Sus scrofa: one gene and its partners. The protein of the gene in region 1 purifies or fractionates together with the protein of each later gene. This does not show direct contact. Links are inferred from orthologs where the notes say so. Each region holds a gene or a part of one and is shown in the gene's direction. Other genes may lie near its edges. The genes, in order: MYCBP2, FBXO45 and FBXW7.

Region 1 (3,655 bases):
GCCAGTAGGTCTAGCCCATCTGGCGCCAGTTCTCCGCGCTCCTCCTCACCGCATGATAAAAATCTACCTCAGAAAAGCGCTGCTCCCGTGAAGACGAAACTCGACCCTCCTCGGGAACGCTCCAAATCAGACTCTTACACCCTTGATCCAGACACCCTCCGCAAGAAGAAGATGCCCCTCACTGAACCATTAAGGGGACGGTCAACATCGCCAAAACCAAAACCAGTACCAAAGGATTCTAAAGAGTCCCCCGGATCTGAAAATAGAGCGCCTTCTCCCCACGTGGTGCAGGAAAACCTCCACAGTGAGGTGGTCGAAGTCTGCACTTCCAGTACTTTAAAAACAAATAGTGTCACAGACAGCACCTGTGATGAAAGCAGTGAGTTTAAGAGCGTGGATGAAGGTTCAAATAAAGTGCATTTCAGTATAGGAAAAGCACCACTGAAAGATGAACAGGAAATGAGAGCATCCCCCAAAATAAGTCGAAAATGTGCTAATAGGCACACCAGGCCCAAGAAGGAAAAATCTAGCTTTCTCTTCAAAGGAGATGGATCCAAACCTTTAGAGCCCGCCAAGCAAGCCATGTCTCCTTCCGTGGCTGAGTGTGCCAGGGCGGTCTTTGCCTCTTTCCTGTGGCACGAGGGCATAGTGCATGACGCCATGGCTTGTTCCTCCTTCTTAAAATTTAACCCTGAGCTTTCCAAAGAGCATGCCCCCATAAGAAGTAGTTTAAACAGCCAGCAGCCTACCGAGGAAAAGGAAACCAAATTGAAAAATAGACACTCATTGGAAATATCATCTGCGCTGAATATGTTTAATATTGCACCTCATGGACCAGATATATCTAAAATGGGTAGTATCAACAAAAATAAGGTATTGTCTATGCTTAAGGAACCTCCTCTGCATGAAAAGTGTGAAGATGGGAAAACTGAGGCCACTTTCGAAATGTCCGTGCATCACCCAATGAAGTCTAAATCTCCTCTTCCCTTAACTCTGCAGCATTTAGTGGCTTTTTGGGAAGACATCTCTTTGGCTACTATCAAAGCAGCTTCCCAGAATATGATTTTTCCAAGCCCTGGTTCATGTGCAGTCCTTAAAAAGAAAGAGTGTGAGAAAGAGAATAAAAAGGCCAAAAAAGAAAAAAAGAAGAAAGAAAAGACTGAAGTTCGGCCGAGGGGTAATTTGTTTGGTGAGATGGCCCAGCTGGCAGTAGGAGGACCGGAGAAAGATACCATCTGTGAGCTGTGCGGAGAGTCGCATCCCTACCCGGTGACATACCACATGAGGCAGGCCCACCCTGGTAAGCGATGCTGCTGTGTGTTTGTAAGTACTTTGTGTAAAAAATGAGTTGGGTCACATCTGACTTAAGTTATTCCATGAATTACCCTAAGATACAGGGAAGCTGTTGCCCAGAATTAATAGTATCTTATAATGTGATTTTTTTTTCTTTCTTTTTTTTCCTTTATCTCTTTACGGCCACACCTGCAGCATATGGAAGTTTCTGGGATCGCATGGAAGCTGCAGCTGAGGCCTACACCACAGCCACACATCAACAGAGCATCTGAGCTGCATCTACGACCTGTGCCACAGCTTGTGGCAATCCCAGATCCATAACCCACTGAGCGAGGCCAGGGACTGAGTCTGCATCCTCACAGAGACAACGTTGAGTCTTTAAAATGCTGAGCAACATTGGGAACTTATAATGTGATTTCAAAGTGTGTTATCAGGAGTTCCTGTTGTGGCTCAGCAGGTTAAGACTCCAACTAGGATCAAGGAAGATGGGGGTTTGATCCCTGGCCTCCCCCTGGATTAAAGGATCTGGCGTTGCCGTGAGTTGCAGCATAAAGTCAGACTCACTCGGCTCAGATCTGGCATTGCTGTGCTGTGGCATAGGCCAGCAACTGCAGCTCCGATTCAACTCCTAGCCTGAGAACTTTTATATGCCATGAGTGCGGCCCTAAAAGACAAAAAAAATTAAAAAATAAAAAGTAAACGCATTATCAACATAGGTTTTGTGGAAGATAGGTAAAAGAATTCTAATAGTGTGTAAGCCAGTTTAATACTATTTCATTTTAAAGTATTACAGTCTAAAATTTTGTTTCCTTTTGAAATGGTTTATGTGTTACCCAAAGGATGCTATTAAGATGTCTCACAAAATAGAATGTTGACATGTCCACACACATAGGGAGTATCCTAACATTAGGTCTTCTCTGGTTGTGTTGTTTTCCCGTTCAGAATTGTAAATTAGATTAGATTAGATTGGCTTCCTTGGGTATTTTCCTGTGGAAAAGAAAACTGTTTCATCAGAAGACAGTATTTTAGATAAATGTAACTATTTCTTTTTGTGTGTGTGTCATTTTTTTGTCTTTTTAGGGCTGCGCCCTTGGCATATGTAGGTTCCCAGGCTAGGGGTCCAATCGAAGCTGTAGCTGCCGACCTTCACCACAGCCACAGCAGCTCAGGATCCAAGCCTCATCTGTAACCTACACCACAGCTCACGGCTATGCCAGATCCTTAATCCACTGAGTGAGACCAGGGATCAGACCCGCGTCCTCATAGATACCAGTCAGGTTCACTGAGCCACAACGGGAACTCCAAATGTAACTATTTCTATAACAATTGATTCGTATTCCAAAATTTACCTATTATAAATTTGGGCAAATGTTTTTCTATCCCTACATATTACACTGAACCTTTTATAAAATACATGCTTTATAAAATATATCATTCTTATGGAATATTTTATACTCCTTTGTCCAATTTTTTGGGCATATTTAGAGAAATCTAAATGTACCCACATCTTGTGTTTCTCTTCATCTGCCCGTGTAGAGTATCTTCAGTATTTTAGGCATCATTTAATTGATTGCTTTTTGATCATGCCTGCAATTTTCCTGGTATAAGTAACAGCCTGGGGGAAAATAGGAAGTTAGATGTTTGCTTCAGTATTTCCCTTGGAGAAGAAAAGTCTTCATTTATGTGGCAAGGATCAGACTCTTAAGGACACTTAAAGTGTTAAGTATTTATTTGTATTCTCATTTCAAGGTTGTGGCCGGTATGCTGGTGGGCAAGGTTACAACAGCATTGGGCATTTCTGTGGCGGATGGGCCGGTAACTGTGGTGATGGCGGCATAGGGGGGAGCACGTGGTATCTTGTCTGTGACCGCTGCAGAGAAAAATACCTCCGTGAAAAACAGGCTGCTGCAAGGGAGAAGGTATTTTTCTTTTGTTCTGGATATACTGTTAATGGTAAGGGTGAACCTTATAAAAATGTCTTTTAATGATCATAATATCAACCAGCTCCACATGGTTGATATTAAAGGTCAGCTTTTATAACAGGAATAATATATAATTATTATTGATTTATGTACCAGGTCAGCTGTTCTTAATTACAAAAACAAATTGTATCTTGGAATAACACAAAACAACTAACCTGTAGCTTACATCCCTTATTGAGAAGTGTAATTTTTTATTATTAATTGCCTGCTACTCTACACATATGTATAGCTTTCAGCTTCACCTTTCTCTCTCTTTTTTTTCTTTTTTCTTCTCTTTCTTGATTCTTTATCTCCTTTCTCTTCTTCTTAATCCCTAATTACGGTTGTAGGACTTAGGGAAACTTAGGATCATTGACACCAGTGGCACACCTAAATAAAAT
Region 2 (3,291 bases), on another chromosome or scaffold:
ACAGTGAAGGAAATGGGGGAGTATTAAATTGTGATTTTTAACTGCAAATACTAGGACTTTCTGCCTCCAAATATACAGATGCAACAACTTTTTTTTTTTTTTTTTTCTTTTTTTAGGGTCACATCCCCAGCATATGGAAGTTCCCAGGCTAGGGTTTGAATCGGAGCTGCAGCTGCCAGCCACAGCAATGCTGGATCTGAGCCACATCTGTGACCTACGCCGCAGCTCTCGGCAATGCCGGATCTGAGCAAGGCCAGGGATTGAATCCTCATCCTCACAGATACTATATCAGGTTCTTAATCCATTGAGCCACAATGGGAACTCCAAAGCATCCTATTTCTTTACTTCCTTTTCCAAATGGGGAAAGAACTGGATAATTGTCCTTCTAGTTTAGTTTAATGGTCAGTGCTGCTTATTTTATAACAGGTCTTTCAGAGTAGTAGACCACACTAGGCTGTTGAATAAGAATAGCTTTGTTAATTTTAAAGGCTATGTAAGTGTTTTATTACAGTTAATTTATTTTTATTTATTTATTTTTTTGCTTTTTAAGGCCGCATCTGCAGCATATGGAAGTTCCCAGGCTAGAGGTCTAATCGGAGCTGCAGTTGAGGGGCTACACTACAGCCACAGCCACAGCAACGTGGGTCCAAGCCATGTCTGTGACCTATACCACAGCTCACGGCAATGCCAGATTCTTTTTTTTTTTTTTTTTGTCTTTTGTCTTTTTTGTTGTTGTTTTGTTGTTGTTGTTGCTATTTCTTGGGCCGCTCCCGCGGCATATGGAGGTTCCCAGGCTAGAGGTTGAATCGGAGCTGTAGCCACCGGCCTACGCCAGAGCCACAGCAACTCGGGATCCGAGCCGCGTCTGCAACCTACATCACAGCTCACGGCAACGCCGGATCGTTAACCCACTGAGCAAGGGCAGGGACCGAACCCGCCACCTCATGGTTCCTAGTCAGATTCGTTAACCACTGCGCCACGACGGGAACTCCTTTTTTTGTGTGTGTGTGTTTTGTCTTTTTTGTTGTTGTTGTTGTTGTTGTTGTTGTTGTTGTTGTCAGATTCTTAACCCACTGAGCGAGACCAGGGATTGAACCCTCAACCTCATGGATACTAGTTGGATTTCGTTTCCGCTGCGCCATGATGGGACCTCCCCACAGTTAATTTTTTTATTGTGGTAAAATATACACAACAGTATTTATTATTTTAACTGTTTGTAAGTGAATAATTTAGTGGCATTAAATATATTCACAATGTTGTGCAACCATCACCCAAAACTTTGTTGTATATACACCCTAAACTTTTCCATTATCCCCAGCATAAACTCTGTGCTCACTGAACAATAATTCCACATTTCTCCCTCCCCCTCAGTTTCTGGTAACATCTGTCAGTTTTCTGTCTATATGAATTTGAATATTCCAGGTGCTTGATATAAGTGGAATCATATGATATTTGTATTTTTGTGTCTAGCTTATTTCTCTTAGCATAATTTTTTCAAAGTCCTTTCATGTTGTAGCACATATTAAAATTTCATTTCTTTTCAAGGTTGAATAACATTCTATTGTATGCATGTACTGTAGTAATTTGAGAAAACCTAGATAGCTTTTATTGGTAAAATAGACCAAATTTTAGAGTTTAGTGATAAGCTTCTTAAGAAAAAGCCTTTAAAATGAGTAAATAAAGGGAGTTCCCTAGTAGCCTACCTATTAAGGATCCAGTGTTGTCACTGATGTGGCTTGGGCTTGATTCCTGGCCCAGGAACTTCCACATGTCACAGACACAGCCCCCAAAAAAGAGTAAATAAAATCTGGGGACTGTTAAGGAGGAATATTTAAATTTTCCAGTATTAAATATAGATCCCAGAGTTCCCACTGTAGTGCAGTGGGTTAAGAATCTGACTGCAGTGTCTCAGGTCACTGCTAAGGTGCAGGTTGGCTCCCTGGCCCTGTGCAGTGGATTAAAGGATCCGGTGTTGCCACAGTGGTGGCATAGGTCACCGCTGTGTCTTGGATCCAACCCCTGGCCTGGAACTTTCCATATGCCACAAGTACAACCATAAAAAAATATTTAGATAGATAGGTAGATCCATCCCACATAAGTCTTAAGTTAAAAAAAAAATCAACACAGGGATTTGTGATGAAATTAATGTATATTCTTTTTCTAAATGTTTCTCCTGGTGGAAAAACTTTTATTTTTTCCTAGACAACTTTTGAGATATATATATATATCTTTTTTTTTTTTAAGGGCCACACCTGTGGCATATGGAGGTTTCCAGGCTAGGGATCCACTCGGAGCTGTAGCTGCCAATGCAAAAGCCACAGCAATGCAGGGTCCAAGCTGTGTCTGCAACCTACATCACAGCTCACAACAGTACCAGATCCTTAACCCACTGAGCAAGGCCAGGGATCAAACCTGCATCCTCATGGGTGCTAGTCAGATTCATTAACCGTTGAACCATGACAGGAACTCCGAGATATATATATTCTTCATAATATCTTCAACTTGTTTATTTCTTCTCACTATGCCTTTAATGGGTTTTCTTCTAACCTTCTTTTGATGTCTTTTTCACAGATAGGAGAAAGAATTCGAGTCATCTTGGACATGGAAGATAAGACTTTAGCTTTTGAACGTGGATATGAGTTCCTGGGAGTTGCCTTTAGAGGACTTCCAAAGGTCTGCTTATATCCAGCAGTTTCTGCTGTATATGGCAACACAGAAGTGACTTTGGTTTACCTTGGAAAACCTTTGGATGGATGACAGTGGCTTTCTTGGGATGAAAGACAGAGTGGAGGAGTTATCTGCTTGTGGAAAGTAGAATCATTAAGTGACAGTGTCATACATGCATGCCCAAGAAACATCCTGAAAAACACATGATATTGTTAACTGGAGAAGCAACTCTACAGCAGAAATTATCTTAGTGTTTCCCCTTTCTACTGGGCCAGAAAAATCCTCAGGGTTGCAGTTGGTTGAGTGGGCAGTTGACATATGCATGTTGCAACAGATTTTGTCTCTAAGTTAGCGATGTATTTCCAGCTTTTAAGGTGAGATCTTAGAGATGGTATAAAAGGGATAAGCTAAGGAAATAGTGAGAGTTTTAAGTAGTATGTTTGTGAAGGAAGACTGATCCTGTTTTACAACTGCCTGTTTTTTCTCCAGACCCTTTTTTCCAGCCAGCTTGACTATTAGAAAAGTATGAAACTGGTTGGATTTTATTTAATATTTTTAATATATTGAGAAGCATGGTCTCCCTGGACTGCACTTCTCTAACAGTGAGATATAAAATTGTGCAGC
Region 3 (3,655 bases), on another chromosome or scaffold:
TCCTTCCTCATTTAACAGTGTTCTTGGCCTTCCCCTTGAACCTCTCTATTCTCTAATCTTGACTAATACCTTACTTAATTTTTCTAAATCTTGGATGATGCATCATCATAAAAAAAAAAAAAAAATTGGACGGAGCGTATATTTCTGGAAGTAGGACAAATTCAGTTATTCAGTCTTCAAGCCTCTGAGTCTTTACTTACCCACCTGCCCTGCCCCGACTCGGTCATAAACTGGGTCGTCTCAGGCAGAAACCGAGGCCTGTGGGATTAACTTATTCTCCTTACCTATCACCCAAACTATGGACATAGCGTTCAGACTCTTACACAGAACCTCCTCTAATTACCGTCGTATCACTGCTGACCGAATTAACAAAGAAACCCTCAATCCGGTTTCCAAAATAGTTTCAGCCGAACCAGACCGCTTGCCTTTTTCTTCTCAGCACCTTCGCTGTTGCTTTTATCTCCTCCTGCAAAGCTTCCCTGTGCAAGTCCCTTCTGTCTCCTGTTCGTATGCATGGTACTCCTGTTAAACAGATGTGATTTCTGTCCCATTTGTCGGAAGAGGTCTCTCTGAAGGGTCCTTAGAGTGAAGCCACTCCAGTCGTCACCGTTAATTCTGTCCGTAGCATCTTCCTTATTAAGAACCATTACATTAAGCAGATTTCACTCTAGATTTGTAATATGTGAAGAAAAGTACCTTTTCACATGTAATTTGAATCTGCTCTGAACAGTGCACGCTGCTGTTAAAACTGGGGGGATTGGTATCCAGAGACCTTGCATTTCAGTTGCCAGTAGTTTCTGACTTCAGTCTCTCAGTGCTTCCATTTTCTACTCTTCCAAACCTGGAAACTCTTTACCTATTTGGAATGATGTAAATTCGCCTGAGTTTTCAGCTTGCCTTTGTAATCCAAAGGTAACTGGAGTATTTCTATCAGTCTGGTTCTCAGAAGAGTATCAGTTTAATAATGTTGGGATGATTTTTAAGGGATTTCTGTTGCCTCTACCTACGTTTCTTCTGTAATCTGTATATCTTTTTTTTTTTTTACCATTTCTTGGGCCGCTCTCGTGGCATATGGAGGTTCCCAGGCTAGGGGTCTAATCGGAGCTATAGTCACTGGCCTACGTCAGAGCCACAGCAATGTGGGATCCGAGCCGCATCTGCAACCTACACCACAGCTCATGGCAACGCCGTCAACCCACTGAGCAAGGGCAGAGATTGAACCCGCAACCTCATGGTTCCTAGTCGGATTCGTTAACCACTGCACCACGACGGGAACTCCTGTAATCTGTATATCTTAATGCTTTCCCTGGCCTATTGACTAGTTTTAAATATAAGCATAAAAGCAGCCTTTGTTTGAGGATATGTTGAAGACTGGTTAATTTGACCAGAGTATGTGGTGTAAAGCACATATCTTTAGCTTTTTAAATGCCAAATTCCGATGTGTTTTGTTGAAATTTTTCCCTGATCGCAAAGGAAGTATGTGTTCATTATTAAAATTTGGGGACATGGCAGAAAGAATAAAGAAAATGTCAATTTTTCAGACAACTACCACCCATTAACATTTTACGCATGTTGCCCACCTCAGCATTTTATTTCTAACATCAAGATCTGCTTGTATGTATTCAGAACTGGCTGCTTCTGCTACTCCTGCTGCTGTTTATTTACTTTCTCTGACTTCTTTTTCCTCTTCTTCCTCTTTGTCTTTGCTAATTACAGTACAGTCATTTTCACACTGTTCCATGGGACCCTAAGCTGCTCCTGGAGCCCTCAAGCAGTGGGGGAACCCAACAGGCAGGAGTCTAGGCTTTCCAACTGCCTGTCCCCACCAGAGTCACTCAGCCTGTAGAGGTTTATATAGCAAGGTTGGTTTTATCTAGCGTGTGTTCCTTTTGAACGCAAGTGTTGCTGCTTAAAAAAGGAGAAAAGTTTTCATCCCCCCTGACTTCATATATCCGGTTTTCCCGTGTTATTAAAATGCTGCTGCCTTCTTTTCCGTTTCTCCCTGCAGAGTTGTTAGTGGTTCTCGCGATGCCACTCTTAGGGTTTGGGATATTGAGACAGGCCAGTGTTTACACGTTTTGATGGGTCACGTGGCAGCGGTCCGCTGTGTCCAGTACGACGGCAGGAGGGTTGTGAGCGGAGCGTATGACTTCATGGTGAAAGTGTGGGACCCCGAGACGGAGACCTGCCTGCACACGTTGCAGGGGCACACCAACAGGGTCTACTCGTTACAGGTAGGAGACCCACCTCCCGCTCCTGAGTGCCTAGTGATGCGGCGGCAGCTTGCCTCACCTTGATGGCCACTGCACGCTGCTGGTCCAGTACAGCCCAGAAAAAGCCCAGTTGAATTATTCTCTTTACCTTTACCTTAACATTGGCAGGAAAAAGCAGACATTTTGAGATGACTGAAATGATTTGTTTCCATTTTTCCATGATTCATTTCCTTCTAAAACACAAATATTTTGTCTTGGAACCTGAGCCTTTGGGGCCCTAAATTTTGCTGTATTAATTAATGGGTACATAGTCTCACAGGAGAATAACGTGGATTTTAATAAACTCCTTAGCAGAGGATTAATTTGGCCAAAAGCTGCCCTTTTTGCCTTGATAGCTGGAAGTTGATGGACCTTGTAATTGCCACTCCATTCAGGGCAGAAGCAGAGCTTTCTGCTCAGAGCTGTGCTACCATCACAGGGCCGCTGGTTTGTAGTCATGAGGAAGTAAATTTAATGAAACTGATTTTTGATTTTGTTTTCATTTGAACCTGATATCCCAGAATAGATTGCCATATTTTGCCATAAATAACTAGATGCATAGCAAGCTTAGCAAATGGGTCTTGTTTCAGGTCCTAAAAGACAAAACTTTCAGTTCAAAAATATAGCTGACCCTTGAACATCATGGGACTCAGGGGCGCCGACCTCACCCCCACCTACCCTCAACTGCAGTCGGATACCCTTACGCAACTTTACACCTGGCCCTCGGTATCTGCACGTCCGCATCCAAGAATCCAAGTAATCTCCAATTGTGTAGTCTTGTAGTAGGTGTTTAGTGAAAGAAATTTGAGTGTAAGCATGGACCTTTGCAGTTCAAACTCAACTTGTTCAAGCAAGGGTCAGCTGTGTTACCTATTCCTTACATGTAGTTTCTTTACCAGTTACTACCCATTAGTGATCAGCAAATTCATCTGTAGTCCCAAGGCTCACAGTTCTTTTCTTGGGGTATTTGTGTCTTAACTGTTGGATTACTATCTATGTCACGAAATATTGACATATAGTAAAGATATCTGTTAACTTAGAAAAGTTTATGAATTTGGAGGAGAGGGAATAGGCTGCAATTGTGTTTATGTTTTGTGATATGCTCAGACCCATAATGAATAAAATAATCTCATTTAAATAAACTATTAGATTGAGAAAAGAGGTAGCAACATTATTATAGATCTGGGAACGGGTAGGTATTTATCGACCTGGGGTATAGCTGGGAAGCTGGAGAAGAGGTACTATATATACTTTGGTTTTGTTATCAGAATGCCACTTCTAATTCTAAACATTATTATCTGGCGTTGGGTTCTTATAAATGGAATTTTTATTTGACATACAGCTTTTAATGGAACTTACTTTTAAATATCATGAAAGTTATCTCTAGCCCTTTTCTGCCTTAG

What was found.
Region 2: the proteins of MYCBP2 (region 1) and FBXO45 purify together in Homo sapiens (affinity purification with western blotting; 7 studies listed by BioGRID and IntAct, with this or other methods). This does not show direct contact. The link is inferred for Sus scrofa from reciprocal best matches to the Homo sapiens genes MYCBP2 and FBXO45.
Region 3: the proteins of MYCBP2 (region 1) and FBXW7 purify together in Homo sapiens (affinity purification with mass spectrometry; 6 studies listed by BioGRID and IntAct, counting the BioPlex papers as one, with this or other methods). This does not show direct contact. The link is inferred for Sus scrofa from reciprocal best matches to the Homo sapiens genes MYCBP2 and FBXW7.

What each region holds. Positions count from the first base shown.
Region 1 is NC_010453.5:49,216,277-49,219,931, reverse strand, and holds part of MYCBP2 (E3 ubiquitin-protein ligase MYCBP2), read left to right. Parts: coding exon 1-1,300; intron 1,301-3,042; coding exon 3,043-3,212; intron 3,213-3,655. UniProt on the Homo sapiens protein: Atypical E3 ubiquitin-protein ligase which specifically mediates ubiquitination of threonine and serine residues on target proteins, instead of ubiquitinating lysine residues.
Region 2 is NC_010455.5:133,547,500-133,550,790, reverse strand, and holds part of FBXO45 (F-box/SPRY domain-containing protein 1), read left to right. Parts: intron 1-2,571; coding exon 2,572-2,757; 3' UTR 2,758-3,291. UniProt on the Homo sapiens protein: Component of E3 ubiquitin ligase complex consisting of FBXO45, MYCBP2 and SKP1. Functions in substrate recognition but also plays an important role in assembly of the complex.
Region 3 is NC_010450.4:76,691,525-76,695,179, forward strand, and holds part of FBXW7 (F-box/WD repeat-containing protein 7), read left to right. Parts: intron 1-2,008; coding exon 2,009-2,234; intron 2,235-3,655. UniProt on the Homo sapiens protein: Substrate recognition component of a SCF (SKP1-CUL1-F-box protein) E3 ubiquitin-protein ligase complex which mediates the ubiquitination and subsequent proteasomal degradation of target proteins.